3 linked regions of the Lepisosteus oculatus genome follow. The protein of the gene in region 1 interacts with the protein of each later gene in a biochemical or structural test. Links are inferred from orthologs where the notes say so. Each region holds a gene or a part of one and is shown in the gene's direction. Other genes may lie near its edges.

Region 1 (10,335 bases):
TAGAAATCCCTCATAAGATGAGGTGTTACCTGACTATAGTCAACCTCAGATTAACAACATTGTATCTTCTCTGGTGTAATATAGGTATGAGTGATATTAATATATGTATCAGAAACACTTTGGAGGAAAGAACATTTTCAATGTTACAAGTGCAGAGTGAATATCGGCCTGGGACTTCAAAGATTCAAGAATGAACTAGTGCTACAATCCCCATGAAAATGGAACAGGTACCCTATGATTTCATCCAGGCTCATTGCAAACAGGTGAGCCATTTCACTAACCAAGAGATATATTTAGAAAACTGTACCTGAAGCCATACGAAGCCACCGCCACACTGGGGAAAAGAGGAAGATCAATCATTTGTCTTCTGTGGAATCATATGATCTATTAAGGCAATCTAGAATGTTTTACAGTATTCCAAAAACTTTTTCTATAAAAGTCCATAATAATTTTGTACTATAGGAAAAGCAAACTGATTGCAGTAAACATTGCAGTAGCTACTCTGTAAGTTTGAAATTTAATTGAAATGCCTTATAGCTTTGCTATTTTTGAACATAGTAAACAATTAATTTTAACTGTCATTTTCACATTCTTTTACATAGATTTTTAACACATTAATCCTGTCCAATCCCTTTTATATTGTTCGTATTTCCAGTTTATTTTCATTAATGTATTATCTGCATTAGTACCCCTCTGAATTGTGTGCTTAAATTTTATTCCAAACAATAATTAAGTAGACTTTTGAGAAAAACAAGTGTCAGTAGGAAATAGTCAATTTAAATTACCTGGTGTCGGGACAACTCCTTCTTTTCCTGTTGGCAAGAACATCAGCACTTATTGAACAGTATATTATTAAAGACTTTTTTTTATTTTTGGTTTACTTTTTTAAAATGAAGTTGGTTGTAATCTACAACAAATCTACTACTACTACTACTGGGTGAAAGAATCTATTATCATTTGTTTTTGGTTGAAGATAATACTAATATAAAAGCTGTATTAAGACTAAGTATAACAATAAAATAGTTCAAATCAAAATAAACTTATGTGATTCAGCAAAAACACGGTTGACTGAAATCCCAAAAATATTAAAAGAAAGTGAGTATCATCTGTCTCCTCAGAGATACAAATTACACAAATGATCATTTCATTTAGCAATTTCCCCTCAGGGGATCAATAGAATATCTATCTACTGCAGCATTTGCAGATACTGATTCTTCATTATATGTGGTATTATAAGAGATACACACTGTCACCCTAAAAGGTGTTGCAGTTGAATGATTCACACAAAAAATGAAGGCTTTACTACACTAGGCTTGAGGAACAATAGCTTGGTAATCCAACCTGTTGACTAACCAGTCAGAACCCTCCCCAGGAAGTGACATTGGTGGTTAGAGTGGGATTCTTTGAAAGGATGTTCGAGTACAATTTGGCGCGATGAGAAGTTGGCATTCTCTGATTAATACCCTGGGGATTTTGACCCCCAAGTCTGGCCATGTAGAAGTGGCAGTCAGAACTGTCCGATAAAAATCTTGTATTTCTGCACTGTTGATCCGGTGATTGGTGGGAGCTCGTATAATGTCTTTCTTCTAAACATTCATTGACAAATTGCATATCCTCTGCAAACTGGAAATTTATTAATTGTCTAGATTTATGTTTCAAGTCCTAGCCCACACTGCCAGGGCCAAAGCACTATATTGGTGGTAACCATGGGATTGAGAAGCCTGTTGTTTGACAATCGGTGTGGACACAGAAAAACGCATGACATCTGGAAGCTGTTGAGGTAGTTGAGGTGAGGTAGCGCTGCACACAGTTTCACATTTATACATAGAAGCTGCACACTACCCACGACAGCATCCAGACCTTTTGGAGATGTAAAGAAAAGCTTGCCTGCAGCAATGGGGACCTGTGTTTAATAGCCATCAATTTTCTATAGCCTTCCAGTGTTATGAGAAGATCAAAGACTATACCAGAGATCAACATTATTCAGATAGAGCAGTCATGGATGTCGGAAAGGCCAGCCGTGGAATGAACAGTAGGGACCCTATGCACAGCGGCAAAAAGCGGGACAAACACAGCTCCCGGCTCAGGAGTCAGGCGGTGTTGGGGATGAGGCATATGCCCTCAGGACACGGACGTGGGGTGACCTGGTGCTAAGCGGGCCTCGCGACATTTGTACCTTAATGCTGAGCCAGGAACACTGGAGACACAGGGACTAAATAGGAAATGGAAACCAGACACACCGGAAGAACATGAATAATCACACAAAACTAGGAAAAGGAATGAAGTAGAGTGCCCTCTAGGGGTAGGATGTCGACCGAGATAGTACCGCACATAGAAAAAGCTGCACAGCACAGGGGGGAAGAAAAACCTCATTTATCTGTCAGGAAACCTCCGGGAGTCCACGGCTGACAGCTACCCCCTCCTCCAGGGTTATACAATAAACTTTATTAACATATGGTAGAGGGAGCCGAAAGTCTCTCGTGGACTGTGACAGAGCAGTGCTTTTCATCATACTTCTACGCTTGTCCTATACTATATTGCATACATCAACATAGCATTTTGCAACACTTCTGACTTTACTCTTCGTATAAGAAAGTTCAACCAAACGTACATATGCATTGTTTTATACATTTACCAATATGCCATAGAGATCATTCTTCCCAGTGTCAGCACTGAACTGCTCCCTGCTGGTACTCACAGTAGAAACCCACTCCAGCACTGCGAGTGCTGATCCACAGAATGGCAAAGACCAGCGCAAGGCTCCTGTAGGATGACACTCTCTTCTCTGAGCTCGGCTGAGTCCCTGGGAATGGGAAGAAGAGACTTGGTGATCTTTGATGACTTCAGTGCCAGTACAGTACTTGAAAACACCAGAGCTGTCCTTTTGCCATTGCTATCTTTTTATAACAGGTCATCAACTTAAAGATAACTGTCAGAATTAAACAAAGGAACAGCACTGCGCTCATTCAGCAAATTGGGTTCTGTATTCTGTGCAACTGGGGCTGTCAAAGAGGGAAGTAGAAAGTGATATTTTTTTTTATATTTTATAGTATCACCACAATTTTATATTGGTACATTTTATTGTATTGTTGAATGTTTCATTTATATTCATATTATTGGAGACTAGAAGGCAAAAAAGAAAGAACCACACTGTAACTGTAAATTATGTGCAAGAAATTACACATCATACCGTGGCAATGGATTTTTAGAAATATGGTTTGTTTTTCAAATTATGTTTTTTTGTTTTTTTATGTATGTGTTTATGTAATTTTTTGTTTAAATTATGTTTTTTATCCCTGGGTGGGTCAAGGGGAGGGGAGAGCTGTTGTGGGGAAATGTGTAGAACTCTCCCCTTCCTTTAGTTTTTTTATTTTCTTTAGGAAAACAATCTGACAGCCTGGAAGTGTCTCCTGAGCTTGAGAAGGAACATTACATGTCTCTGCCTCGGCTTAGACCCGCTGTCTCTTATGGAACTCTGACTGTCTTTAACATCTCCATTCCATTTGCCCAATATCTTCGCTCATCCGTCATTTCCACACGAATCCTGTGACACTGCCACCCCTTGGCAGGAGTTTAGCTCTGCATTCTTTCTGGATCCATTCTGTGGATTATAAGATAAGATATGAATTTGCTTTAGGAATCTGTCTTTTCACATATTCCAGCTTGCTCTCCATGAGACACACAGGCAGGGAGAGAGAAGCTGGGGGTCAGAGGGCAGGGTCAGCCATTGTACCGCACCCCTGGAGCAGTTGGGGTTAAGGGCCTTGCTCAGGGGCCCCACGGAGTAGGATTCCTCTGCCGGCTGCAGGATTTGAACCGGCAACCTTCCAGCCACAGGCGCAGATCCTGAGCCACAGAGCACAGAGTTTAGCTCTGGATTCTTTCTGGATCCATTCTGTGGGTGTGGTTGGCAAGTAACCACTTTGAAAATGGACGATTGTCCCCTAGGCTGAGTGTCCAGTGAATCGCCCATCCATTTTCAAACCACTTTATCCACTCCACGATCACGGGGGAGCTGGAGCCCATCCCAGAGAGCAACTGGTGCAAAGTGGTTTACAACCTGAATGGGACTCCAGTCTGTCACAGGGCACTCACAGACACAGACGTCCACACTCACACCAGCGTCGGCTTTCCTAGAAGCCCATTAACACACCAGTATTTCCTTGGACTGTGAGAGGAGACCAGAGCAAACGCCTGTGAACACAGGGAGAGCCTACAAACTCCACACAGAAGGCACCCTATGTCTATAAAAAAGTACCTGGTACTCTTATTAGCTGGGAGTAAGAAGGAGTTACTCTGATGCAAAATGTTGCTGGATCACAGAATTGGTTACGATTAATTCATTTACTTCAAATGTCTTTAATTTTATTTGAGGGTTTAAATAAGGAGAACACAAAGGTCATTAACCCTAAGTAACTCGCTAAGAGAAAGGTGTTTTGAAAATTCCATATGTTGTCTGTTCCAATGAGAATTTGCAAAGGAGATAAACAAGATACCTTTCACACGTTTGTCCTGTTTTTGTATTGAATACACCACTACAGTATTTTCATTATTGCAAATAATAATCTGTATACTGAATTAGCTGCACAAGTCCTGTCAAGGTACTCCAGTGTGAAATCTCAGGAGAAGCACAGGTATTTATAGGTACAGAATGTGTACATTTATGCCGTTAAAGCCCTCAGACTATGAGGCAGAGCAGAGACAGTAAAAAGAAGCCCGCGCAGTTTCTCTATCTGTACCTTATTCAAGACAAACTGTTGAAGAATAAATTAATGAAGCCAGAATACTTCAATACTTTATTGATAAGACAAACCGTTAGAACACAAATGTTGTTTCCAGACACGCAACAGCGGTTAAACGGTACGCTTTATTTCATGAAAGCAGATGATTTGTATTCATACACGGGTAATGTCTTTAAAATATTAATCTCGTATGTGGTCATACGACCAGGGGTGCTGTGTTTGTACCGTCCGTATTCAGAGCGAGACGGATCGCAGCTCGTCCAATACAATTTCATCCGGGGGAATTGTCGCCGGCTATGAGCCATCGCGTTCACGGAAATGAATAGTAGGAAACAGAACTTGAAGCCTCACAAAAGCCACATTCACACAGGGGAAAGGTCTTCGGTGAAGTCAGGCATCTCTTAAGTCGCCTTATCCGTAAAGCATTTTCTCTTTTTTTCGACAGGAAAACCAAACTCCTAATTAGGTGCAAAGCGGACAATGAGAACTTTGCCGACCGCTACATCCTCGAAAAACGAAGGGGTGAGGGACGGGTTGTTATTGTTTTTTTTTCCAACTAGCCTGTTCCCAGGTAATTTTTTGGGCGGGGGGATTTTAAAGAGTGGAGCTCCTCATAACTTTAATTATTAAAAATAATAACTTAGTACTGGTATTGCATATTCTTCCTTTAAGGGCTCATGACACTGCTGGAATCTCCACTTATTTTTAAGTCTGTGAAAACTTTTTGTTTTTGCCTCGAACGAATTTTAATGCTGCGGATTGCAATTTTGTAATCCTGATCTCTTACAATTTTTAGATTTTTTTTATTGTCTCTTTGTACTGTATGATTGTATTGAATACTTTGTTTTATACATGCAGATTTTATATTATGCATTATTGCACTGTTAATAGTTCATTATATGCCCAGTTGGAATAAAACCCGTTTAAAATAGATCGGAAAAAAACTACAGCACCCAGAATTCAAAGGGCCGGCATCGGACTTCCGCGCTGACATCACCTAACCAGGGCACCTTTCAAGATGGCGGCGGCAGCAGAGGCGCAGGATAATGAACTGGACGAGTTGTTAGACAGTAAGGACGGTACTTCTTCTGTAAATGTCGGATGTTCAAAGGAGTAGCTGGCGTTCATCGGTGAAGGAGAGGGCGTCCCAGTGTGAAAATTTTGGTTGCTGAACAGAGTACACGGTGTAACCTGTCACCCAAGACAGTTGAAACGCAGAATGATTAAACGAGTGGTTTTGCGAAATAGAGAAAAAAGAAGGGTTTTTTCTATTTTTTAAAGCTGGTTCTATCAGCATTGCCGCAGTTATTGTTATCTCTGTTAGGCAGTTGAAGCTGTAGTAGCAGTTTATTATTATACTTGCCATTGCTTTGAGAAGAAAATGACACTTAAAGAAGTGTCTGCTGTTTTCAAGTCGGATGTTGATGCCAGAATTTCAACATTTTAACACTTAAGCCACATTTAACGATATCAGCTCAGTAGATTGCGAATACTCTTGCTGTATATAGCAGTAAGTGAGGCATGCATGTCAGGTAAGACTACACTCGTGTGTCGCTGTCCCGTTTTGGAATCGGGAGCACCAGCATGTAAAATGCACCCGAGTTGATGCACCTGATTGTTAACTCTGACGACTGGGAATCGATATTTGCTGGTGGTTATGATGGCTGTTGTTAATGTTGAACAGTCAAGACCCTATACGTCCTTCGACTCGCAGCCCTGTTCTGTGTCTAGCACTACCGCGGCGTTTAAAAACGTGTCGCTCCTGCCCATCACAGATCCGACCTCAAAACTTGAGTGCTTTTCGGAAACCCCCCCCCGGCACAACCCACTGCTGTGTGTAGTTTAAATGCAGAGTGATAGGCCTGGGGTCAGACGTACATTCTTCCCCAAAATAACAAATCGATCCTCAGGATTCCTAGAATTCTGCTGGAATCCGAACCAGTTCTGAACCTACTGGGGGAGGAAACTCAATAGAGCTGCAGCCTGGTGTGTGATCTCCTGTCACAGCCTGAGGAACAGTGAGCCTGTCTCTCAATAATAGTAATACAGTGTGTGATCTCCTGTCACAGCCTGAGGAACAGACAGTGAGCCCGTCTCTCAATAATAATAATACAGTGTGTGATCTCCTGTCCCAGCCTGAGGAACAGACAGTGAGTCTGTCTCTCAATAATAATAATACAGTGTGTGATCTCCTGTCCCAGCCTTAGGAACAGTGAGCCTGTCTCTCAGTAATAATAATACAGTGTGTGATCTCCTGTCACAGCCTGAGGAACAGTGAGCCTGTCTCTCAATAATAATAATAATAATAATAATAATAATAATAATAATAATAATAATACTGTGTGTGATCTCCTGTCACAGCCTGAGGAACAGACAGTGAGCCTGTCTCTCAATAATAATAATAATACAGTGTGTGATCTCCTGTCCCAGCCTGAGGAACAGTGAGCCTGTCTCTCAGTAATAATAATACAGTGTGTGATCTCCTGTCCCAGCCTGAGGAACAGACAGTGAGCCTGTCTCTCAATAATAATAATACAGTGTGTGATCTCCTGTCCCAGCCTGAGGAACAGTGAGCCTGTCTCTCAATAATAATAATACAGTGTGTGATCTCCTGTCCCAGCCTGAGGAACAGTGAGCCAGTCTCTCAATAATAATAATACAGTGTGTCATCTCCTGTCCCAGCCCGAGGAACAGTGAGCCTGTCTCTCAGTAATAATAATAATAATAATAATAATAATAATAATAATAATAATAATACAGAATGTGTTCTCATATCCCAGCCTGAGGAACAGATAGTAAGCCAGTCTCTCAATACTAAAACAGTGTGTGATCTCCTGTCACAGCGTGAGGATTAGACAGTGACCATCTCCAATAACAATAAAAATAAAAGATCTGTAGCCCAGTATGTGATCTCCTGTCACAGTCTGAAGCAGAGACTCAGTGTCTGTCTTGAAAGTTTTGGCAGCACTTCAGTTCATCCATGATGCCAATAAAGCCATTTCAAATTGAATTTGGGTCTCAAGCTAAATTCCTGTGGGACCCAAGCAGAGAAGTCCATCCCTGGTGCAGGTGTGTCCACTGGTTCCCATCCCAGCTCTCAACAGAACTGGCTGGTTACTGGTTTGGCTGGACCACTGGAAGAGTTACCCTCGGCTCGGGCGCTGCAGCTGTACAGTGACCTCGCAAACCTGCTTCTCTCCTGCCAGCTGTGTGCCAGCGTCTGCGTTTGAATAATCCCAGTAGCCGCCAGCGAGACGACCCGAGTCGGGACCGGATTAGATTCTGTTCCTAATTGACGGTTTTCAATTTTCGTTTTTGATCAGGTGCCCTGGACGACTTTGAGAAGACCAAGCCCTGCGCCGCGGCCCCCAGCTCTGAGGGAGAGCCGACTGCAGCGCCCCCTGCTGCTGCCAGTGACAAGGAGACAGTGAGTCGGTCTTCACTGGCTTTGCTTAAGTGACCTTGATCTAGTCCTGTAAAAGTTACTCCTGTGCCCCCGTTTTGTTTTGCGTCAAGCGGCAACCATTTTTCCAGTGGATGAGAGGATCCCAAATTAAACTGATAGACTAACTAGTATATAAATTTGCCGTGATCCATGTTGAGATTTGAAATGACGCACTCCTGCTCATGCAGTCCGTCTCAGGCCTACATTTCCGTGATGCCGAGATGCAAGAAGTCGGATCGCAGTTCAGTGAGGCCAGGTTAGCTCAGGCCACTTCCAGAGAATATCAAAGACGACGCACATAAGGTGTCTCGCCCGTGGTGCTCTGAATCCAAGCAGTTTTGCAGGAATTTTCTGTCACCTCCCTAATTATGAATGGGTGTTTAGTGACCAAGGCAGACGGATTAGAACTAGACAAAATACTTCCACACTTGGCACAGTGGCTATTTGTGATAAGGTGATCACCGCCTATGGGTTATTTCTGAGTCCAGTATTTTTCAGACCATTGGCAGGAGTGAACCCAGGTCAGGTCCGATTCTATTGTACGATTCTTCACGCACAGATAGTGCTGATCTTACACTGTAGAGCCCCTTACTTATAGATAGATAAGATAGATACATAAGACTTTATTGATCCCGAAGGGAAATTGATGTGTTACAGCAGCCCAGCCCAAGACAAGCATAGTCATAGTCATAGATCATAGTCACTGTAAAAACAATAAAATATGTGCAAAATGTGCACAGGTATATATAGATTGAGTGTCCAAAAAAGTACAATGGAGCAACATGCTGTCCATAGAGGAGCAAATGAAGGGCTGACAGTCGTAGCCTAGGGCAGCGTTATACACCCTGACAGCCGCCGGGAGGAAAGACCTGCGGAAACGTTCCCTTGAGCACCGTAGCAGGAGCGGTCTGTTGCTAAAAGTGCTCCGCTGCCCAATAACAGTCCCATGAAGCGGATGAGAGGCGTTGTTCACGATCGCTGTGAGCTTGGTCAGCGTTCTCCTCTCAGCCACCACCTCCAGGGGCTCAAGGCTCAGCCCCAGCACAGAGCCCGCCTTCCTGATCACTTTATTGAGCAGAATGCAGGATGTGGCTGTAGACATCCAACCCCGCCTCTCAGCCCTCAGCTGGAAAGGAAATATTAATGACAGGGCAACACCCAGAGTGAATAAATAGATTCCAGTGACGTACACTTGAATATACGCTGTTGGAGCCGGAATTATCATGGCTGCCGGCGCCCCTGGCTCCTGGATAAAGGATGCACGCTCGTTCCGATCCCGGGGCCTCCCATCGTTCCCGTTTCCCGTCGCCGCGTGCAAACGTGTGCGCTGGGAGCTGTCGATCCCAACCTGTCCCGTCTCCCCGCCCCTCCCCGGCTGCTCTAGTGCCCCCCGCTGCTGGAGGACAACCAGTTCTTCGAGGCGCTGTTCGAGGGGGAGCTGGCCAGCCAGGCCCGGGAGGAGTTCGACAGGGCCATGAGGGAGCTGGCCCAGGAGGAGCCGCACCTGGTGGAGCAGTTCCAGAAGCTCTCGGAGGCGGCCGGCAAAGTGGGTACGTCTACCGCCCCCACCCACCCGTCCGCCTGGCCGGGATCGCCCACCCCCCCACCAGGAGTGGGGAAATCTGGGAATCGGGAATCTAATAATAATAAACTTTATTTTATATAGCATCTTTAAAGGTGCCTTCTCATAGCGCTTTACAGAACGACAACGACAAAAAAGTACACAAGATAGACACAATGAGACAATAGACGGGGTACTGAATACGGTAGGAGCAAAAGGGTAAATAAGAACCGGTTAAGTAAAGGCCCTTCTATAAAGAAGGTTTTGAGTCTAGATTTGAAGGTGACTCTGATATCCTTAGGGATAGAGTTCCAGAAGTCTGGAGCACAGCAGGAGAAGGTCCTGTCACCCAGAGAGTGTAGACAGGACTGGGGGACAGACCAGGAGACCAGAATTAGAAGAGCGAAGGTTGAGAGGTGGGGAGTAGGACGATAGTAGCTCAGACAGGTACTGAGGTGCCAAGCCATGCAGGGCCTTATAGGTGAGCATGAGGATTTTGAAGTCGACACAAAACGCATCCATCCATCAGTTTTCTAACCAATTCATCCAGTTCAGGCTGGGGGCGGACGCACACACTCGCACCAGGG
Region 2 (10,335 bases), on another chromosome or scaffold:
TGACCTACGTGTGACCCTGAATTCCCAGTTACACTATATATTATCCGCCGTTTCAATGTTTCGTCAACGTTCATACAGTCTCCACAATAAACTTCGTTGTCTTAGAGCCTGTAAATTGCTCCAGCACATCCTAATTCCCAGGTGAGCCCTGTAGTGAGCTGTAGTGAGCTGTAGTGAGCTGTAGTGAGCTGTGGTGTGCATCAGGCTATATGGCATCGTGCCCACCAGGAGGAAGACGGTGAAGGCCGTAACTCCTGCTCTTCGCTCTCCCCAGGCCGGAGGTGTCTTGTGGAGGAGTGGGCGGCAGGCAGTGGCTGGACAGCCCCGATGGACCCAGGCCGCCGCTGCCGCCACCACCGCCACCGGAGGGGTCCTTCGACCGGGGAGGCTGCCCGTACAGCGCCCGCACGCGGCGCAGCAACAGCTCGGAGGCCCTTCTGGACCGCTCGGGCGCCCCGGAGGCGGGGGGGGCGGCGGCCGGGGGGAGAGCTGGGGGCGGGGCGGGCGTGGGGGGGATGCCCTCGAGGGGGGGGCCCTACAAGAGCTCGGAGACGCTGACCGACGGCAAGCTGCGGCAGCCGTACCGGGGCAGCCCGGAGCGCCACGCCCACGCCCACGCCAACGGCCACCTGGAGCTGGGCCGGGTGCGGGTGTCGGTGGGGGGGCGCGGGGGAGGGGGGGGCGGCTACAATGAAATCCTGCTGGACTATATCTGGGAGAAGCAGCAGCAGCAGCAGCAGCTCCAGGGAGTGGGGAGTACGCGACCCTGGAGGGCAGAGGTCATCCCCAGCTCCGCTGGCGCCCCCTACGGCCCGGGCAGCCCCCTGATGCTGCGGGGCAAGCCCGGCGAGCCGCGGAGAGTCAGGGTGACGCGGACCAAGTCCTGCGGCCCCTTCATCCCGCTGCAGCAGCCCCAGCAGGAGACCCTCCTGCTCTCCACCTTCTCCGAGTCTCCCACGGTCCTGAGCGCCCCCTACCCCTCGGCCTCTGCCTCCCCCGGCGCCCCCTACCCCTACCCCTACATCTCCGAGCCCCCGCCCCGGAGGCCACTTCCCCACCCGCCCGAGGACGCCACCCGCTCCCTGCACAAGGCCCTGGCGCTGGAGGGGCTCCGAGACTGGTACCTGAGGAACGCCCTGGGCCACCCCCCCGCGCCGCCCCGCAACAGGAGGGCCGCTCCCGGGCACGGCCACGCCCTCCAGCCCTGCGCCCCGGAACCGACGTACCCCCAGTGCCACAGCACCCAGCTGCCGCAGTCCGCCACCTTCCACGGGCATCCGCTGCAGGGCAGGTGAGTACCCCACAAGGGGGCGCCGGGGTAACAGACGCCGTTCCGGTCCAGCCCTCGGCTGTGGCTTGGCAGCGCTTCCTGCTTTCTTGCTGATGGGCAACTCCATCTCTGAGAGCCTGGTTTTACAGTGCGGGCGCTCTGACTCTCTCCCCCAGGCCCTTGGAGCTCTCTCTGTACCAGGAGCCCCTGGAATCCCAGCTGCAGGAGCTGAGCCTGCGAGAGCAGGGCGCCGACCCGCCGCCCCCGGGCACGCTGGTCTGACGAGCACACGCCCGCGCCGGCAGGAGCGCGCACGCTCTCTAGGCGAGAGCCGCCTGCGATGGGCAGACCGCGACCAGGCACGCCAAGGCCGTGGGCTCTGTGCTTTCCTGGACCACGGTATTCCCGGGATCCGTCCGAGAGGCTCCACCGCAGTACGGCGTGGCGGTACTGTGGGCCAGAGCGGTGAAACGCAGCTCGGAGGGGTCAGGCCCAGGGAGGATCCCCCACGGACAGCTTGGTAAATCGGTGTGGGAGGAAAACCAGGGCGAACCTGCCGTGCAACATTACTGTAGTGGACTTCCGCTGTGGTAGTACAGGAAGGCTGGATCTGATCTGTTACGGTCGGGAAACAAGCAAATGATTCTCAACGGGTTCTGCTGTGATCCGAACCCCCTGTCTGGTACAGCAGGTAATTCCTCACTCTCGCTGGCTTGGAAGAGCATCGAACAGGATGCATCGTTGACAGTGAAACAGACTTCATAAATTAGTGGATGACCTTATTTCAGACACAGGGTGCCAGCTGATACCCGTGTCTAGTGTGGTATTTTCTAGGCTCAACGGCCAAAAAACAGGAATCAAACTACTGCTTCTAACAAGCCTTGGGGAAACTGTGGCAGAACCTTTGTGGACAGGAGTGACTGAGATGCACTGTACAATCCTCTGCCCTTCTGCAGTTCGAGAGGAGAGCCTGTCCTGGACCGTTCAGGGATGTGGTTTCCTCTTCCTGGCGGGAGGGATGGATGGCGCCCGGTGCTGGGAGAGGGGGCTGCAGGGCGCGAGGCTCCTGGCACGTTCCCGTCCGTACAGGCCACCCTGCACTGTGGGTGCCAGCATAAGCCGGTCTTATGTCATTAAATTATAAAGTAATATTTTTTCTTCTTGTCCAGTATCTTCCTGCTGCCCTGTGCCCCTGTAAGCAGAACAGTCCAGTTGTTACCGCCGTGGCCTGGGGGGAGAGACTCCCGCCTCCTCGCGGCGCACTGGCCAGAGGTCCGCACACCTAGCGCTGACATCAGTGGGTTACAAGTAGTGCTGGGGCTTGTGTTCTGGGTGGAATCGCAGCTAATCCGCCTCTGGGCCGATCCCGGCGAGCCGGGCCAGTTTCTGCAGTCCAGTAGAACAAGGAGGGTTCTGTTTTCAACAGCACCCCCTATAGGCGTCGGCTGGTGACCCCAGAAGGGGATAGTATCGGGCCCCCCTGTGTTGGTTTGGATCTGGGCGTGGGTTTGTACTGTGCCCTGTCGGGCGCAGGCCTGCGGAGCACTCCAGCACTCCACAGGGACCCCGGCATGCGTCGCCACCCCTCTCGCCAGGGAAGGGCGTTCAACAAAGCGCCGCGGTCCGCGCGCTCGCCCGTGCGGTACTCCTCACGCAGCCTGCGCAAGCGTTTTGCAATGATGGCGGCAGCAGCGTGGCTACCTCCGGCTCCAGCCCGTGACTCCCCCACATCCTTCACCAGCATACGAGACCCCGCAGAGCAGCTGACCCCCCACTCCAGCGAGGCAGGCTCTGCCCACGGCCCTGGCCCCAGGTTCGACGTGGCTCCCGGTGGGCTGATCAGGTTAGCTGGGCGGAGGAGAGAACAGAACGGTTAGACGACAGTGTAGTTACATGGTCCACCCTCCTGATTCATCGGAAAGGGAAACCTAGTTCTGCAGGTTCCTGCAGTGAAGGCGCCTATAAAGCAGGCTGTGCTTGAACTCTCAGCAGCGCTCATCCAGGCTCGTGATCTCCAGCCCTTTCCCTTCAGAGCTCCGACCCAGTGGAGCCCATTGAAGTTCTCCCTGGAAATCGTCAGTGTTTAGGCTTCAAAACTGGGAGCTTCTTACCTGCATCCTTCCAGGATCAGAGCTGGACTGAGCTGAACAGGAACAGCTGAACCGTTAGCTTCAGTGATAAAAAAGTCACTAACTCAAAGTGTTAATTAGCCCCCCCTATTTTAAGAGGAGCTGGTAAACTCCTGGGCCTCTCCGAGACCAGGGGATGTGCACCCCATGTCCTTGAGGGTAAGTGACAGGGTCCTGTGGTTTTGATTTCTCCTCCGGTCCCTAATCCGTGATTCTTCTACTTGTAAAACCTGACAGACTCCCACCCTGGAGGCTTGAACTTGTCCGTTCCTGCCCCAGACGCGTAGGAATGACCAGCAGTTCCTTCAACCCCTGCTGCCTTACTCCTTCTCACCACTAGAGGGCTGTCTTACACAGGCTGAACCAGTTCTACCTGGTCAGTCGGTCCAGCCCTGCTGAAGTGCTGATCCGCAGTACCATGATGTCCACTGCTCCCCACTATTAAGAATTATGATCAGGCAGCCTTCACATCTCCTCAGAGATCATTAGTCTCCCTGTGCAGTAGATGGGTAACTGAAGTTTGCATAGTGTTTTAAAGCAATACATAACTGCTTGTAATGTGTTTGTCAATATCCATGTATGTATATAATACATGGCGATTAACAACCCTGTCCTCTGGCGGGCTAATCAAGCAGTTCCATTCTGCGCCAGCCCACAGCTCCTTCCTCTCCACTCCACCGCCGTGCTGCAGCTCCGCTAGTGCACAGATCCGACAGGCCCTCGAGGGAACGCAGCCTGCAGTACGACGGGCTGGGGAGCGGACTGGGAGGGCTGCAGGCCTGGTAGCCTCAGCTGGTATGTGGGCTGGTTTGTTTGTTTTTCCCCTTTTTCATCCGGTTGAGAATTTGCCTACAGACATTTCCATGAGGCGTGCAGGTCTTTTGCGACGGCACTGCCCTGAGTCGAGTTCGGCTTCACCAGCAGTGCACGAGGAGTGGTGGGGGGGGGGTGTCTGGGGGGTGTGTGTGGGTGTGGGGGGGGGGGGATGTGGGGGTGTGTGTGTCTGGGGGTGTGTGTGCGTGTTTGTGTGTGCATGTGATTTCAGTCCGCGCTGCCACTCGCGGCGCCACAGCGGACTCCTGTGTCCAGACTGACGCTTCTGCATGGAAGAGCTGCGGAGAAGAGGCAGGGTCTGTGCAGGACTGTGGGAGGGCCGACAGTTCACTTCCAGGGGTACAGGCAGCTGATCTTGACATTTCCACAATGACTTGAATTGTAATTTGAAAGGTGTAGATAGAGAAGACTATTATAAAGAAGAGACGCTTGCATTTCTATCGCTACTTCTGACCTTTGGGTCTCGCCTCCCAATAATACCAGGTGTTTTGGGGACGAAGAGAAGTTATTGAATATAAAATCATGCCACTTTTGAATATGTACTGGGGAGAGGGACTGTATATCATCTTTTTAATAAAGTGTCTTGTTAAAGCCCAGGTGTGTGTCTGTCTCTCTGTGGGTCTCTCTTAGAGTTCAGTCATCTTTGTCCAGGAAGAAGTCTCTCCAGATCCCTGGGGGAAATGGTTTCAGGCAGATTCTTGCACAACAATACAAGAACCACAAAGTGTTCAGGACAACCGGTGCTCAGGAGAGACTGATATTTACATCGTTGGAGAGTCAGGTTGCAGGGGGCTGTAACTTTGCCATTACACGTGTCTCCCAGAGGGGAGGAGTGTAAATTCACCATGGTGGGGGTGAGATGCACTCAGCCTTCTTTACAAACCCTCTGTAGAAGATAGGATGGCTTTGCTGCTCATCGTCAGTGCTTTTACCAACCTGTTACAGTTTATGGGACCAATATTGTCATCGACTGTACCACACCTACCAACAGGTAGGACAGTATGTTACAGCAGTTTAAGTAAATGATTTGTAGAAAGGAGTTAAAATAGTTCTGCCCACCTTGATGAAGCAGTATTTACTAGAAAACAAAGCCATGCCAATAAAGCTTGATAAACTGAATATTTGACAGACGCAGTCACACAGACACAGAGACCTGGATGCCTATATCTATTAATCCATGCACCTGCATTATGACTGCAACAGGTGAAATAGTTCATTGCTCTTGATATCGTTCAGCTAGCTAAAAAAAAGTCCTTTAAAGGCTGAGACTCCACAAAGGCACAAACGGGTTAATGTTTTCAGCTACAGCTCTACTACGCACAGCGCGGTGAGGTGGCGTGATTTCTGAAAGTATTCGGGTGTTTCAAAAAAAAAAACTTTTCAGATGGTTAACCTACGGCTCTCACATTTACACGTTGCCACCATAGACTCTCAGTCGCGCATGAAGAGCGTCCAGAAAAGCCGGGTGCGAGGGGGATTGTGGGATAGGTGGAGGACTTCCTACGTCTTTGACAGTTGCAGAAAAGCAGAAGCGAGAGGAGAGCGGACTTGCAGCCGCCCTTGGGGGTGCCGATACCGAGATCGACGCTGCGGGACTGACCGGCGTCGAGGGGCGAATTTCGAGACTCGGATGTATTTGCAGCGAATAGAATAGACTCCCCCCTTTCACACACACTTCCAACAAGTTTCGAAACTTGTTTTTTTTTTTTCCCTCTTTTACGGCGAACAGTCGGTGCGTAAAGTTCACCGAGGGTTTTTTACGGAAGGCTTAAAAAGCGAAAACTTTTTTTTTCTCCTTTGGACAGAAAAGCCAGCGACTTCACCCTTCCTGCGCCCGGGACTCGTTTTGTTTCCGTGTGTATTGCAGTGTCGCTGTCAACAAAGTCCTGCAACTTTTCTCTTTTCAGGAAACGCGCTGCTGTCAACAGTTGGGCGGCCAACTGTAGCTTCTTATAATAACGACAACTTTTATATACTGCAGGTATTAGGCGACACGGGGTAGAATACCGTCAGAGGACACCAGGCACATCGAGGAGGTTGACGCTGTTTGACGTAGTTATGTAACTTACATAATCATACAGGTGTACACGGTACACCTGCTCGAGCAATAACTTTGAGTTCTTGCTCCTCTCTTTAGAGAGAGATTGCGAGCTGCCTGATTGAAGGTCAGACTGAAGTTTGACTGAAGCGACATTTCTGGGGGACCCCGCCGCCTGGACGCCCACCTGTCACCTGGGACAGGTTGCTTTCCTCGCCGCCCCTCGACCTCCTGTGCGTGCGTGTGTGTTGTGTTGGGTTGTTTTCTCGTTATCAGTTGATTCATATCTGAAAGATAAACGTTTATTTTTACACCTCAGAGGAGCGCACCGCTGGGATTGCTTGGGCCCCCAGAAATTAGAAAAAAGTGCGAGATGTAACCGGAGGTCGCGCGTAGACCTTTCCGAACGGTTCACTGTCTAGAGCGGGTTCAACGTCACGGTTCCGCTTTGCGTTTCCAAGGTGCTGCTCTCCCCTTGATGTGATGTCGGAGTGACGGACTTTTAGGTCGTGTTCCTGCGTGCTGGTGTGGGGGCACGGTGCCGTCACCCCGGAGAAGGTTCCCCGAGGTCACCCGGCTGTCCGGTACGGGGGGGAACCCCCTCTCCCTTACAACCCCACGATACTGAGCGGACAGGCCTGGATCTGATTTAAACACGCACACGCACGGCGAGAGCCTCCTTTTCAGCGCTGAGGAAGAGACACGCGTGCGAAGAAGGGAAACCGGACGGAGGTCTGACGCGTGGGGAGACCGTGTATAAAAAGTAGAACCCCCCCCCCCCAGGACGTGGACGTGCCCCCCCATGTCTTCGGTCCTGTACCCCCAGCTGCCCGCGCAGCTGAAGAGGACCTCCGCGGTCAGGAGGGCCCTGCTGCTGCTGGCGGCGGCGTACGGGGTCAAGAAGCTGTACCCCGTCCTGCTGCGGCGGGCCGGGGCGGGCGAGGCGGCGGGGACCCCGCGCCCGGAGGCCAACGGGGGGCCGCGCGGCTCGGGGGCCGCGGGCGGGGGCGGGCGCTCGCCCGGCCTGGACCAGGAGTTCCTGCGCCGGCTGGTCCGGCTGCTGCGGATCCTGTTCCCGCAGCTGCTCTGCAGGGAGCTGGGCCTGCTGGGCGTCCACTCGCTGGCGCTGGTCTCCCGCACCTTCCTGTCCATCTACGTGGCCCGGCTGGACGGCAAGATCGTCAGGACCATCGTGCGCAAGGACCCGCGGGCCTTCGTGCTGCAGCTGACCAAGTGGCTGCTCATCGCCATCCCCGCCACCTTCGTCAACAGCGCCATCCGCTACCTGGAGGGCAGGCTGACGCTGGCCTTCCGCACGCGCCTGGTCAGCCACGCCTACCGCCTCTACTTCAGCCGCCAGACCTACTACCGGGTCAGCAACATGGACGGCCGGCTGGCCAACCCCGACCAGTCGCTGACCGAGGACGTGGTGGCCTTCGCCGCCTCGGTGGCCCACCTCTACTCCAACCTCACCAAGCCCATCCTGGACGTGGCGGTGACGGGCTACACGCTGCTGCGCACGGCCTGGTCCAAGGGCGCCAGCACCACCTGGCCGTCCGTCATCGCCGGCATCGTGGTGGCGCTCACGGCCAAGGTGCTGCGCGCCTTCTCGCCGCGCTTCGGCAAGCTGGTGGCCCAGGAGGCGCGGCGCAAGGGCGAGCTGCGCTACATGCACTCGCGCATCATCGCCAACTCGGAGGAGATCGCCTTCTACCGGGGGCACAAGGTCAGTGCGCCCGCCGGCAGAGAATTGCGTGAAGATAAGTCGACGGGCCTGACCGAGCTGGCAAAGGGCGTCGGTAGAACCCGAGACGGATCGGGCCCGCTGCGCATCGGGACTCCCGTTGTGTCGGGCCGGCCGGTGCCCGCGCTCGATCTCGCCCCGTCGGCAGGGCTGGTTTTAGAAGCTGTTTAATGTGCTTTGTCATTTCTGGCCCAGATACCAACCACTGGCACAAGCAGCCTGAGCTGAGCCAGCTGGCAGCGAGGGGGCGTGCAGACACTGATCCGGGGGGACACAGCAGAGATCCGTGCTTTTGGCTTAAAATGCGCTTTATCCTTAGACTGCTGCAGGTGGAAGTGTGAACGTGTGTCGTGTTGGAATAAACACTGGCGAGAGTAGGGGTCGTTTATTACCTGAAGGCCTTGGGCATTGTGCCACGTAAGTAAGTTTGCACTGGAGATATCTAAATAGGTCAACAGGCAAAGAGCTGCTGTCTCTTCCAACGTGAGGCCTGTCAGGCAGAGATCGGGAGCAGAGAAGAGGCTGGCCCTGGCTTGGCTGTGTGATTCCTGGTTTGTGTGAGAGAGTGGGGCGTGTGTGTGTGTCCTGAGGTGGGGAAGAGCTATGTGACAGTGGGTCAGGGGTCAGAGGCTGAAGGTCAAGGAGACGCTCGGAGTCAGGAGAGCAGGATTGTAACAGTGTTTGGTTGGGGGGGGGAGGTCTTACATAAGGCCGGCGAGGAACAGACTGGCTTAACCTTGTACAGTGGGCAAAGGCTCAGCCCCCCTTGTACATCAGGTGATGATGTTACTCCCAGGAAGTCATGTTCTGCAGGGCTACCCTGTTGTGCCAGGTGGTGTCAAAGAACTGAGAAAATGCAGCACGTGTGCAGAGACTCCAGTTAACATGCTGCAGTGTTATTCTAAAGCCTTTGTCCCCATTTCAGTCAATCCTGCCCTGTATCTCCGAGATTGTCACCCAAGCAGAGCTGCACGCTATCGCAAACGGGATTTCCTGCCACGCTCTGCTTATTGAGCTTTTTGGGAAACCAATTGAAAAGAGTCTGCCTGCGGGAATTCTTAAAATATCATCCTGGCTCTGATGGCCTGATGTAGCGCCCTGCGATCTCCTTGTGCTTCTCTCTCGTTAAGCGCGAGACCAGCCCTGTATCCACTAACACAGCTGCACTGCTGTGGCCGCCGCCATGACAGGTCAGGTCCTGCCCACCACCTGTTTCCCACGATGCCCTGCTGCTCCCGGTGGTTTCAGACGTCGCTTTTCGGGATTTATTCCTCAGAACCGAGAGCGCCGTCTGTGTGATGTTAGAGCCGATCTACGCGCACTCAAGAAAAGCAAAACACAGCCAACGTGCAGCACTGTGTGTATAATCTTTTATGTAAACAGGATGTCCAGTGACGTTCCTGGAGGGTAGGGTAGGACAGGAACTGCAGCCCAGTTAAGATGAGCGGGGGGCTTTTGTAGGAAGTTTTTTCCTTGCATTTGGCCCTGTCAGCGGGACTAGCTTTCACCTGTTGTGAATCTTGTGGTTTTCAGTGTGCAAAAAAAAAGGACAGGACGTTAATACTGTCTCAACCCAAAAGCTCAGGTCCCTCTGTCAGCACACTAAGCTACTTTTTGTGGAACATCTGGTCCAGAGGGAAAGTTGCCTCCTAGTGGTCCACCAGCACCACTTACAGAAGCGACCCGGTTTGCCTCAGAGATCTGCAATCCCAGTACTGGCCAGGTCCAGCCCTGTTGCCCTGCTGCAGTCAATCTAGATGGCGCTCTGGGACAGGAGACAGGAGAGCTGAGGCTGTGCATGTGCCCTGGCCTTGTCCTGGTCCTGGGAGAAGGACAGAGTCCTCACCATTAGTCACCTGCTTCCTCGGCATTTGAAACGTGACAGGTTACCAAAGCCACTTGCATTTGTACCCAAGAGTGAGTGTACAGCCTTGCTCAAGGCTGACGTGGTAGAGACCCACCCAGGATTCGAACCCCCAGCCTTCCAGAGACTACAGCCCTGACCACTGCTCCACACTGCACAGTGCTCCATGTCATCTCAGCAGTTGAGACAAAACAAGAACAAGATGCAATCTGTGCAAAACAGAACTTTCAGCAATTTATCAACTGGGCAATCTTTCACTGAACGAGAAAATTCCCATTTGAAAACACTTTGTTTTCATAGTTAGAGGTGCTGTGGCCGTGCTTCGATGTGGTGTGAGGTGAAGACAGTGCTTGATATTGTGTAGCAGTAGTTGTAACGTGTGTGTGTGTGTCCCTGCAGGTGGAGATGGCCCAGCTACAGCGCTGCTACCGGGCCCTGGCCTCCCAGATCAACCTC
Region 3 (10,335 bases), on another chromosome or scaffold:
ACCAATTTAGATCCAAATACAAAATGCATAAATAATAATTATACCAAATATATCCTAATAACTGGTAACTGAAATAAATGTGCATAACTGGTATCTGTATCAAAAATGAATTGCTTACCAATAGTTTCTTTCTGTGCTGAAATCTGATTAACAACATATAATGTGACCAGATCCATGCTTCCACCATTATTTTTATCAGTATTTGTAGAAATTCCTAAAAGCTTCTTTTTATTTTGCAGCTTTTTCTTCCCAAAAAATTCCTCGGAAAAGAAAAGGTATATTTCAATTTGGGAATAACTAAAATATTTTTTTCTGAATGTTAGGTATCCAAATTCAATTATCATAGTACCAAGAATCAAAACAGGTTTTAGAATTAATTTAATCCAACTCAAGTGCTCAAAGGGCGCAAGACAGGATACACCCTGGACAAGACTCCAGTCCATCACAGGGCACACACAGACATTAACACACACACACCAGAACCAATTTTCACAGAAGTCAGTTAACCCAGCAGCATGTCTTTAGACTGTGGGAGGAAAACAGAACACCCCGAAAAAACCCATGCAAAAAAGGTAGAACAAACAAACTTCACACAGATAGCAAGCACTCCAGGTCCAGAGTTGAACCAAGAGCCCCAGCACTACAAGGTACCAATACTAACCACTGTGCCACCATGCTGCCCTAATGGAGCAGAATGAAACTTATAACATTTCAGTTTAAATTAACAGTAATTATCAAACTGATACATAGTACACATTAGAAACTGCAATTAAAAATTACGTTAACAACATTTCTGATAATCATGGCTCTAAAGCGACATATATAAGAAATGCGTTAACAAATCTAAATATAAATATGACCAGAACCACCATTGTTAATTAAAAGAAAATATTTTCTTATTAACCAAGAAAATACAACACAAATACAAACTACAAAACTTGCAGACAAATATTAAGAATTATATGTATGCAGATAGCAAAAACATGAAATATCAACACAAAATGGAAAACACTGAGAGGCTTGAAATAGGTGTTTAGGTTGACAAACAATTCACATTAGATGATGTGGGAGAGCAAAAAAGGCAAACAAGTTATAACCCTGAAATGCATAGATTTTACATTAAAATTTTAAAAACTGTACAATGTACTATTTAGACCTCATTTCAAGTATTGTGTCCAGTTCTGGTCACCATAAAAACAATACAGCTGCACTGGAAGCATTCTTGAGAAGAGCTACCAGATACATTCCAGTGCTTAGGGGAATGTCCTGAGCGATGCTGACAGGCTGAAGAAATCTTGAACAAAGATGACTACGACAGATCCCGATTCAAGTGCTCAATATTGTCAAAGGAATTTAAAAAGTCAACCTCCCCAACAATCAAAAACATCCACTTGGCACCCGACCACTAGTTATTAACAACTTGAGTACTGGCCAGTGATCAAGAGTGAGACTACATGTTTCACCTTGATGGTGATCCAAAGAGTACAGTATAACAAAAGAATTATTTAAGTAACAAATAAATATTTAATATTAATGCTGCAGCTTTCATGATGTCTGATTCTCTGTTTAGCAGATACTATATGTACTGTATTATAGGGATTAGTCGGTTGTCAAAAGCAGAGCAGTGGGCATAAAATTACTATCCTTACATTATATTTATAAAGAATCCTAATTGTTTTCTTAATGATGTTTATTCTTCAATATATTTTTTTCACTATAGTACGCTATATAAATGTATATTTCCAAATTTAGTTTAGAACTGAAGAATTGAAGAACAGTATATAAACTGTTATTGATATTGCATTCATATTAGCCTTACCTTTTGCTTTTTTATGCCATTTTTGAACATGAATCTGTTCCTGGGGATGAAATAAAACATACAATAAATCAATGTGTAATTCACAGATTCCAAATTAAAGTTTTGTATTCCCCAAATGTAAGATTTGATGTGAAAGGAAAACTGTAATACCCAATATCTAATGTTTTATTTTACTGAACAGAAACAGTCTAAAAATAGTACAAAAAAGAAACCATAAGCCATTGTGCGGCTATGAAGAAAAAAAACATTCATTTCCACGTACAGTATGAGCCTGCTTAAGGAGCAAGTACAGTAAACACAACTTTAAACATATATTTAACGTATTTCCATTATATGGTCTACTTCCTGATTCAGTGTGGGGGGGATTCTACTGTATGCACTGCAGTAAAGTATTCAGTCTGATAAAACTGGTGAGTCTTTCACATTTGCATTTTGTTTTATTCTTCCTCTTCATTTTCCAGCTTAGTTATGGTGGTACATCCATCCATTTTCTAACCATTTTATCCAATAAAGGGTCACAGGGGAGCTGGAGCCTAACTCAGCAAGCAATGGGCACAAGGATGGATGCACACTGGACAGGATGCCAGTGCATTACAGGGCAAACATAGATACACTCACATCAGGACCAATTTTCACAAAAGTCAATGAACCTACCTGTCTTTGGACCGTGGGAGAAAACCAGAGGATCTGGAGGAAACCCACACAAACCACTTAACAGACATACAAACTCCATGTATACAGCACCCAGGCCAGAACTGAACCCAGACTCCAGCTCCGGGAGGCAGTGATGTGTACCACTCTGGCACCTTGATGCTCTTTGTGGTGGAACACTTTCATCTTTTATGCTATTTGCCCAGCTACTGTATATAGTACAAATTCTGTCCATTCATCATACACATCACACATGCAGTCACACAGATCACGAGTTCCCATTCCTGGTCCTCGACCAAGGGGACCCACACACATACTAGTCCCCCCCGCACAGTCAGTTAAATAATTGATCCCTCAATTAAACCTAATAATACATTTAATTTGAACACTTTTTTTTTCAATTTCCTAGACACGTGGGAACTTGTCTTTACCATCTTCAACTTAACATCCATTACTACATTTCTGGGCAAACAAAGGGTGCAAGGCGGGGTACTCCCTGGACACGATGCCAGTCCACCAGAGGGTGCACACAGATACAGACACCCACCCACACCCTCACACCATAGCCAGTCTTCCCAGAATCCAATTAATCTACCAGTATGTCAGGGGACTGAGGGGAAAAACTGGAGCCCACAACACTGCAAAGCAGGCATGCTAACCTCTGTGCCACAGGCTGCCCCTAACGTTTAAGTAGAAATAAAACTGGTAAGAGTGCTAATCAAGCAGCCTTCTGGTTCAGTTAAAAACTCATGGTGAAGAGAGCTCGGCAGCAATGAAAACCAGCAGCTGTTGAGGGTCCCCAGGAAGGAAGATTGGCGTAAATTAGATACATGACATAAAATTAGATACACAACTTGGTTAGAGATTAGGATCAGCCTTTGATGGAGTGTCATACTCTGTGAGGTAGTTTAGGTCAAACTTTATAGTTGGAGTGAGTCATACTATCGTTGATTGTTCCAATAACTGTGCAATACGGACTACTTTCGAATAAAACATTAAAATATGTATACTATTTAACAGCATATTAAAATGTTTTCCTAAATTGTACCGAAAATACTTTGTCTATAATGTAGTTTTACATGTAGATGGAAAGAAGCAGACAAATTGTCCATTTATTTTCTGTGACGCAGCAGATAACTTAATCGATAATAACATCTATGCTGCTGAACGCCATCTAATCAAATAGGCTAAGATGAATTTGATTTTTACTTACCTTGTACCTCCGACCCAATTCATCTCAGTTTTCGAAGAAAAATAGCAGTCGAGTGTCTCTAGCTTTTTGCTTCTATATTTTATCGTGCTTAACTAGACAAGCAACTGTGAGCTCATTCACCACCTCCGAAACCTAATATAATAATCAGTAACCTAACAATAAGGCTGAGGAGAAATAAATGTAACCGGCGATTGTGTAAGTACTTTTTAAAATATAGATATCCTTCAGCAAAGGATACCCTTGATTTTACCCTTGATAATTTTTTTTTCTCTCGAAAGATAAATCGCTCCTCGCAGCCATTCGTTCCCGCTCGAGACTTTATACCGCGCGCTTAGAGTCAAAGTGATCTGACTGACGAATTCTGGAGCCTCGAGGCCTGGAGAGGCTGGGGGCGCAGATAACAGATGCACTATATGCAGGATCCTGCATATTTGTTTTTGAGAATTTAGGGTAATTATTCAAATCAACATGGTGTATTTTGACCAACTCAATTTCAGCATGGATCCTCCCAGTTATAGTAGCCTTCCTTCTAATCTGGACTGGAGACTGGGGGGAGAGGGGGTTTCTTGCGAAATTACTGTAGGTTGATCATCTCCCTGTACTCGCATGTGTTTTTTAATTTCTCTGGTTTCCCCTACATTACTTGGTGTCTGTTAATTATTGTGTGTGTATGCCCTTCGTCGGACTTGCAGGACCCCATTCGTTTATTGAAGTTATTGAATTTCTGGTCATTTCAAAGCATCAGTGGATTTCAGACGCACTGTATAGGCAATACAGGATATTGAAATCGCGTGCTCTTAATTGCACGTCATACCGTTTAAAATTGGTCTCAACAAAAACAGTGTTAACTATTTTCACTTGGTAAACTGTTTCTAGCCGGGAATTCTATACACATTCAGTCTGAGCAATTAATAATAAAGTTTAAAATATACATTTGGCTACACACATAGAAGTTACAAACTGATGTTTGTCCAGACAGCCTTGATTGTCTTCAGTTTTCCTTCCTTGTACTATTATTAACTAGGTTAAATCAAACTGAATCTCTTTAACATAAGTTGCGTAGTGTTACAGTGCATAGGAATTCAATCCTGGTTAATGTTAAATTGCTATTTGCTGTTTCTTAGGCGATTTAAATTATGGTTGTTAAAAATTATTTTTATTTTTGGGATTTTAGTATTGCGATAGCATATATTGTAATTATGATGGTGGTGAAGATGTAGGAGGTGTAATTTAATTTTGTTTTATATTGTATTTTGAAATGCAAACACAGTACTCTTCATTCATTCAATGTGCTTTTAAAATTCACCGTTTTCATCAAAATAAAGCATGTTGCTTCATATCGAAATTTTGCGCGACATTATTTCAAAGTAAGGTACACATTTTACTGTGCTTTTTTACTGCCTTATTCCTCTTAGTCGTTTGTTTCATAACTGTCATGTTGACCACAGTCACTGAGAATCACGTGAACCCTTAGGGTTACGTTTTGCATACACACAGTCTGAACAACGCAGATGCGCATCTCAAACGTTTTACAATCTGTTATTTGCATTCGCTGCAGAAATAACCAATCAACTTCTTCCGGGGGAGTAGCCGAGAAGAAAGACTGCACAACCTATTGACGGAAACACTCCAATTGATACTGTCTAGTGGTGCAGAGGCTCTTAGTAAAAACAATCTGCGGTTGAATTTCCCTCAGTTCTTTCTGGTTGTTTTATTATATTTTATTTTGATTTATTGTTTTACATTTGACTGAAGGATATGTACCGAAACGACGTCAGACAAGATTGACAAGTTTATATATCGCCTATTGTTAAAAAATGTCCAATATATTGCATGCGGCAGCTAAAGTGAAATGGAATCAGTCAGCTGCAGCAAAACGAGCCGCTATTCTTGTGGCGGCCGCTTATGGGGTGAAAACGTTGTATCCTGTCATTTGCAAGCAGATCAACAGAAGACCCGACCATAAGAAGACAGAACCCCTCAAAACTGAAGAACAAAATGGATTAATATTGCCAGGAACGACGGACGTAACGCCAAACAGGTCTCCTGGAGTAAATGCCGAGTTCTTCAATCAGATACTGGAACTTGTAAAAATCCTCTTTCCAAAGCTTATCACCAAAGAGCTCGGATTGCTTTGCTTACATTCTGTCGCCTTGATATCGAGGACATTCTTGTCCATTTATGTGGCAGGGTTAGACGGTAAAATCGTGAAGACAATAGTAGAGAAACAACCAAGAAGCTTCGTCATCAAATTGATGAAATGGCTCCTTATAGCCATACCGGCCACGTTTGTCAATAGCGCAATACGTTTTTTGGAGTGCAAGCTTGCTTTGGCCTTTCGCACTCGGTTAGTCGATCATGCATATAAAACGTATTTCACAGACCAGACTTACTATAAGGTTAGCAATATGGATGGGAGACTTGCGAACCCAGACCAATCCCTTACAGAGGACATCATGATGTTTTCGCAATCGGTTGCACATTTGTACTCTAACCTTACAAAACCCATTTTGGATGTGATGCTTACTTCTTACACCCTGATTCAAACTGCAAGATCAAGAGGGGCCAACGCCTCCGGCCCGACCCTGCTGGCAGGTCTCGTCGTGTATGCCACAGCTAAGGTTTTGAGAGCCTGCTCGCCAAAATTTGGGAAACTGGTGGCGGAGGAGGCACACAGAAAGGGTTACTTGCGTTACGCACATTCACGCATCATTGCCAACGCCGAAGAGATCGCCTTTTACAGGGGACATAAGGTAAGACAACAGTGGAGACACTACATGTCAGTCTTAGTTCAGGCTATGTCTCTCCTCAGTGTAAAACTAAAAAATGCATTCCTTTGTAGAAACACGAATATAGTATATCTAGTGGAGCAACGTAACTTAAATGAAATCAGGATTTCCAAACTGAACAATTACACATACTTAATGCCACTTTCATAGTGTGAATAATGTGTCTTCTTCTTCTAAAACAGGTAGAGATGAAACAACTGCAGAAATGTTACAAGGCCCTTGCTGAACAGATGAACCTTATTTTGTCTAAGCGGCTCTGGTATATTATGATAGAGCAGTTCCTGATGAAGTATGTCTGGAGTGGGAGTGGCTTAGTTATGGTGGCAGTACCCATTATCACCGCAACTGGTTTTGCTGATAACGGTAAAATAAAGATTCTTCTAAAATATTTTGAGTTATTTAAATAATGTAAATTCGTAATACTGGTAAATTAACGATAATTAAAATTGTTTAATTACTAGTAATTCGTTTAAATGTGAGTTTTAATTACTTATTGCCTTTCATACGCATAATAGCAAAATGTGTTTAAAATGTGACACAGAAATATGCCAGTGGTTACAAATGACATCATGTTTTATGTGTTTGTTCTTCTTCAGTTTATGGCAAGAAAACCGTTGCCGTAGCATTTTTTATGTGAGGTTATGGTGTCACAGTCTGTTGCTAAAGGGCCAGGAGTTTTGTTTTTTGTTCTTACTCTTTTTGAGAGTGCGTTCGGGTGGAGAGAAGGCAATTCTATTATTATTTTCAAGAGACGTTAATAAATAATTGTTGTTTCAAATAGAAATACATGTTAAATACGAACCAGTTAAGTAATTTAAGTTACTTATTACTTTAATGACTGGGATATCAAAGTAATCCAGACTGGGATACTCAGAAGAATAAATCAGACTCATGTTTTTAAACATGTCACATGCAAGGCTGTTGTCATCTGTTATAGAACCATATGATTTTTAAATTAAAATGGGTGAAAAAGCAAATGGAAGGAGGTTATTGGATGTGCAAGCAACTAATGATTCAACATCTGTAGTTTTCTGAATAAACAGCTTTAGTCGTTTTTTGATCATGTTGTGTAAAATACAATAGAATATAAACGTATGTATAAAACTACTTGTTCTTTTCACGTGTCTCCTAAATATAATACAAATTCATTTTGAGGAACACTTTTGTTTCTTTTTTAGAGCTGGAAGATGGCCAAACTCAAGTTTTAGTGAGTGAAAGAACTGAAGCCTTCACAACAGCACGTAATCTCCTGGCATCTGGTGCTGATGCTATAGAGAGAATCATGTCTTCCTACAAAGAGGTGAGGTAAACTTGTATTCCAGAGTGGCTTATTTCATATGCCTTAGATTTTAATATGTTTAAATGTTTTCACATCACTTCAGTGAGTTTAGGAGAATAAAAATGTGTTCACAAAAAATAGGTTTTCAAATTGCCTTCCTATTAGTTTATATTCCGAGCATTAAAAAATATTTTATTTAGTAGCATCTGTTAAATGCTTTTTGTGTCATTTTAATTAAAATTGAAAAATTTTGACTGACCATGTTACATTCAAATAATTGTGCTGTCACAAGCATTAAGTCAGCTAATTAGCAAAAGATTTGATTGGGTACGGGTGAAGAGGTGATTTACCCTGTTGAACCTAAAACACAGAAAGGAACCAATATCCCCTGCCTATTAAGAAAGTAGTGCCTTTGTTAATGAGAATATCGGAGCAACTTCTCAACAGGACTCACCACTGATCAATCAAGGTGTTGTATGGAATGTGACACAGACAAATAAAAAATGAAGCTAATTGTTGTGTACAGTAGACCAGTCAGTAAGATGGTTCAAGTGATGTACAGCTTGTGTTCAAATAAAGTCACACATGCTATTGGTTTGTTACTTCCTCAGTAGATCCCCAAATACTTAACACTGTTGATACCATAATGAATTTACATATGACATGACTGTTCAACAATGTAATAAGTGATGGAATTATGTGGAATTATAGTGATGAAATTATCATAATGCTCAGTATGTATTATACTAATTAGTACCAACTACTTTGAAATATCAGTACCTAGAAGTTGGAACATGATCGTTAGCAACGTGTTTTTCTCTGGAAAGTGATGACTGGTGTCATATTTGCCATTTTTTAAATAAAGAACAAACAATTGGAATCACTATTTTAATTCCTGATCAGTTAAATATTTGTAAACTAGCTGTTAGTAATATTTCTGAATTGTATTATTAGGGACAGTCATTTCTGAAGTGACCATTAACCAACCAAAGGCTCATCATCTATGTTAGTTATGCCAAACACAGTGCACAAAATCAAACAGATGATTGTTCAGCTTGTGTTTTTTCCCCTTTGTGGTGTAAAGACAAATTTCTTTCAAGTGAAGATAAGCGCTGAGCTTTGTCTTTTTACCACTATCCACAGAAGTCTTAGGAGATGCAGTGTAACAGTGTAACAGCAGCAGCTGTAACAGCAGCATCTTAAAATTACATTTTGGCAAGTTTGGCAAGTGAATTCCTGTTGATCCGCAAGTTGTTCTTTTTTTAGTCATTTTTAAGAGCTGGGTTTACATGAATTAATGTATAAGGTATCGGGCAGAATGATGTGAAGTACTACTGTATATGAAGGCTGATTTTAATGTTACAACTTTCACAATAATCGCACATTTACAGTGTTGAGAGCTTAACATGGGCTAGACCCATTTCAGGGACTGCAGTATTGTTAATTCATAGTTTTGACCATCCATCCAATTTGGAGATACAGATAAAATGAATAAACCCTGTTACAGGAACTTAAGCATGCAGCTGTATTAAATAAGTAGACACAAATTTCTACTTTGGAACAAGGGGCTGTTCCAAATGTGCTGATTGAATGCAAGAATGTACAGTATACATTTCTCCTTTAAACTTTTGCTGAAATGCCATGTTATTTATGTGCAGTTTTTTATTGTACCACATTACCGTGTAACAAAATAAATTTTGATTTTTTATTATTTGGTTGCTGTAGCTGTTAAAGTATTTTGCTTGCCTGCTCAATAGTCTTCTGTCCAGACAAGAGTGCCAGAGTTCTAGGAAACGTGAGCACGTGTTTTGGTTAAAACTGAGATTAGATAGAGTGTTAGAACACTGTACAGGCAGCCAGTGCATTGCAGTTCAGAATTACACTATCTGTACAGTTTCCTTTTTTAGCTTCTGTGACTGAACGTTATTCACCACAATTCATTACTTTCTGAGTGCCAGGGAGCTAAACTTACAGTATGGGTTTGCTATTACAAAAGTTATGGCTTACACTGTAAATGTTTCCTTTCTTAATATGGAATTTAAACATTGCATCAGAAAGCACAAGTGAAAGCTTTATGCATTTAAAACCTCATATTGAGATCACGTTTATGGCATTAAGAATGCTGTTAGGGAAGCTTAACTAGTTGGGAATAATCCACCATCTGCTTAACATTCAGAATGTTTCCCTATTTAACAATTCGTGTGATCAAGTGGAAGTGAACTCCTTTTCTGACACTGGTCAAAGATGCTTTGTTCTGCCTTTTTCCCACTGCATACAGATTAAGGGAAAAAGTTAAGGGAAAAAGTAGCTTTTAGTTATAAATGTATGTATATGAAAAAAATATTTATGTATGATATTCACCTTGTCAAAATCATTGGACAGTTTTAAAATTTGAAGGGTCCTGGGTTAAAATAAATGAATAATCTCTCCTGATAATTATAAATTATAAACCAAGACTTGTCTTTTAATGCCATAACTTCTAATACAACATGTATAAAGTATAGACAGCAATATCTTCTTTTTATTTGAAAAAGAGCAAGCATTACAACTGCTTTTACATGTTTTAGAATTTAAAGACTAAATT

The links.
Region 2: the proteins of pex19 (region 1) and abcd1 form a complex in vitro, tested with the Homo sapiens proteins (3 studies listed by BioGRID and IntAct, with this or other methods). The link is inferred for Lepisosteus oculatus from reciprocal best matches to the Homo sapiens genes PEX19 and ABCD1.
Region 3: the proteins of pex19 (region 1) and ATP-binding cassette sub-family D member 2 form a complex in vitro, tested with the Homo sapiens proteins (3 studies listed by BioGRID and IntAct, with this or other methods). The link is inferred for Lepisosteus oculatus from reciprocal best matches to the Homo sapiens genes PEX19 and ABCD2.

The regions. Positions count from the first base shown.
Region 1 is NC_090699.1:8,500,065-8,510,399, reverse strand, and holds the start of pex19 (peroxisomal biogenesis factor 19), read left to right. Parts: upstream 1-5,084; 5' UTR 5,085-5,264; intron 5,265-5,674; 5' UTR 5,675-5,760; coding exon 5,761-5,812; intron 5,813-8,065; coding exon 8,066-8,169; intron 8,170-9,571; coding exon 9,572-9,737; intron 9,738-10,335. UniProt on the Homo sapiens protein: Necessary for early peroxisomal biogenesis. Acts both as a cytosolic chaperone and as an import receptor for peroxisomal membrane proteins (PMPs).
Region 2 is NC_090697.1:75,802,084-75,812,418, forward strand, and holds the start of abcd1 (ATP-binding cassette sub-family D member 1), read left to right. Parts: upstream 1-5,717; 5' UTR 5,718-6,474; exon of another isoform or gene 6,475-6,732; 5' UTR 6,733-7,073; coding exon 7,074-7,997; intron 7,998-10,278; coding exon 10,279-10,335. Other genes in the region: ccdc120a (coiled-coil domain-containing protein 120), read left to right, coding at 275-1,291, 1,447-1,552. UniProt on the Homo sapiens protein: ATP-dependent transporter of the ATP-binding cassette (ABC) family involved in the transport of very long chain fatty acid (VLCFA)-CoA from the cytosol to the peroxisome lumen.
Region 3 is NC_090702.1:37,202,461-37,212,795, reverse strand, and holds the start of ATP-binding cassette sub-family D member 2, read left to right. Parts: upstream 1-5,255; 5' UTR 5,256-5,500; coding exon 5,501-6,436; intron 6,437-6,654; coding exon 6,655-6,835; intron 6,836-7,650; coding exon 7,651-7,772; intron 7,773-10,335. Other genes in the region: regulator of DNA class I crossover intermediates 1, read right to left, coding at 119-260, 1,820-1,859, 3,684-3,706.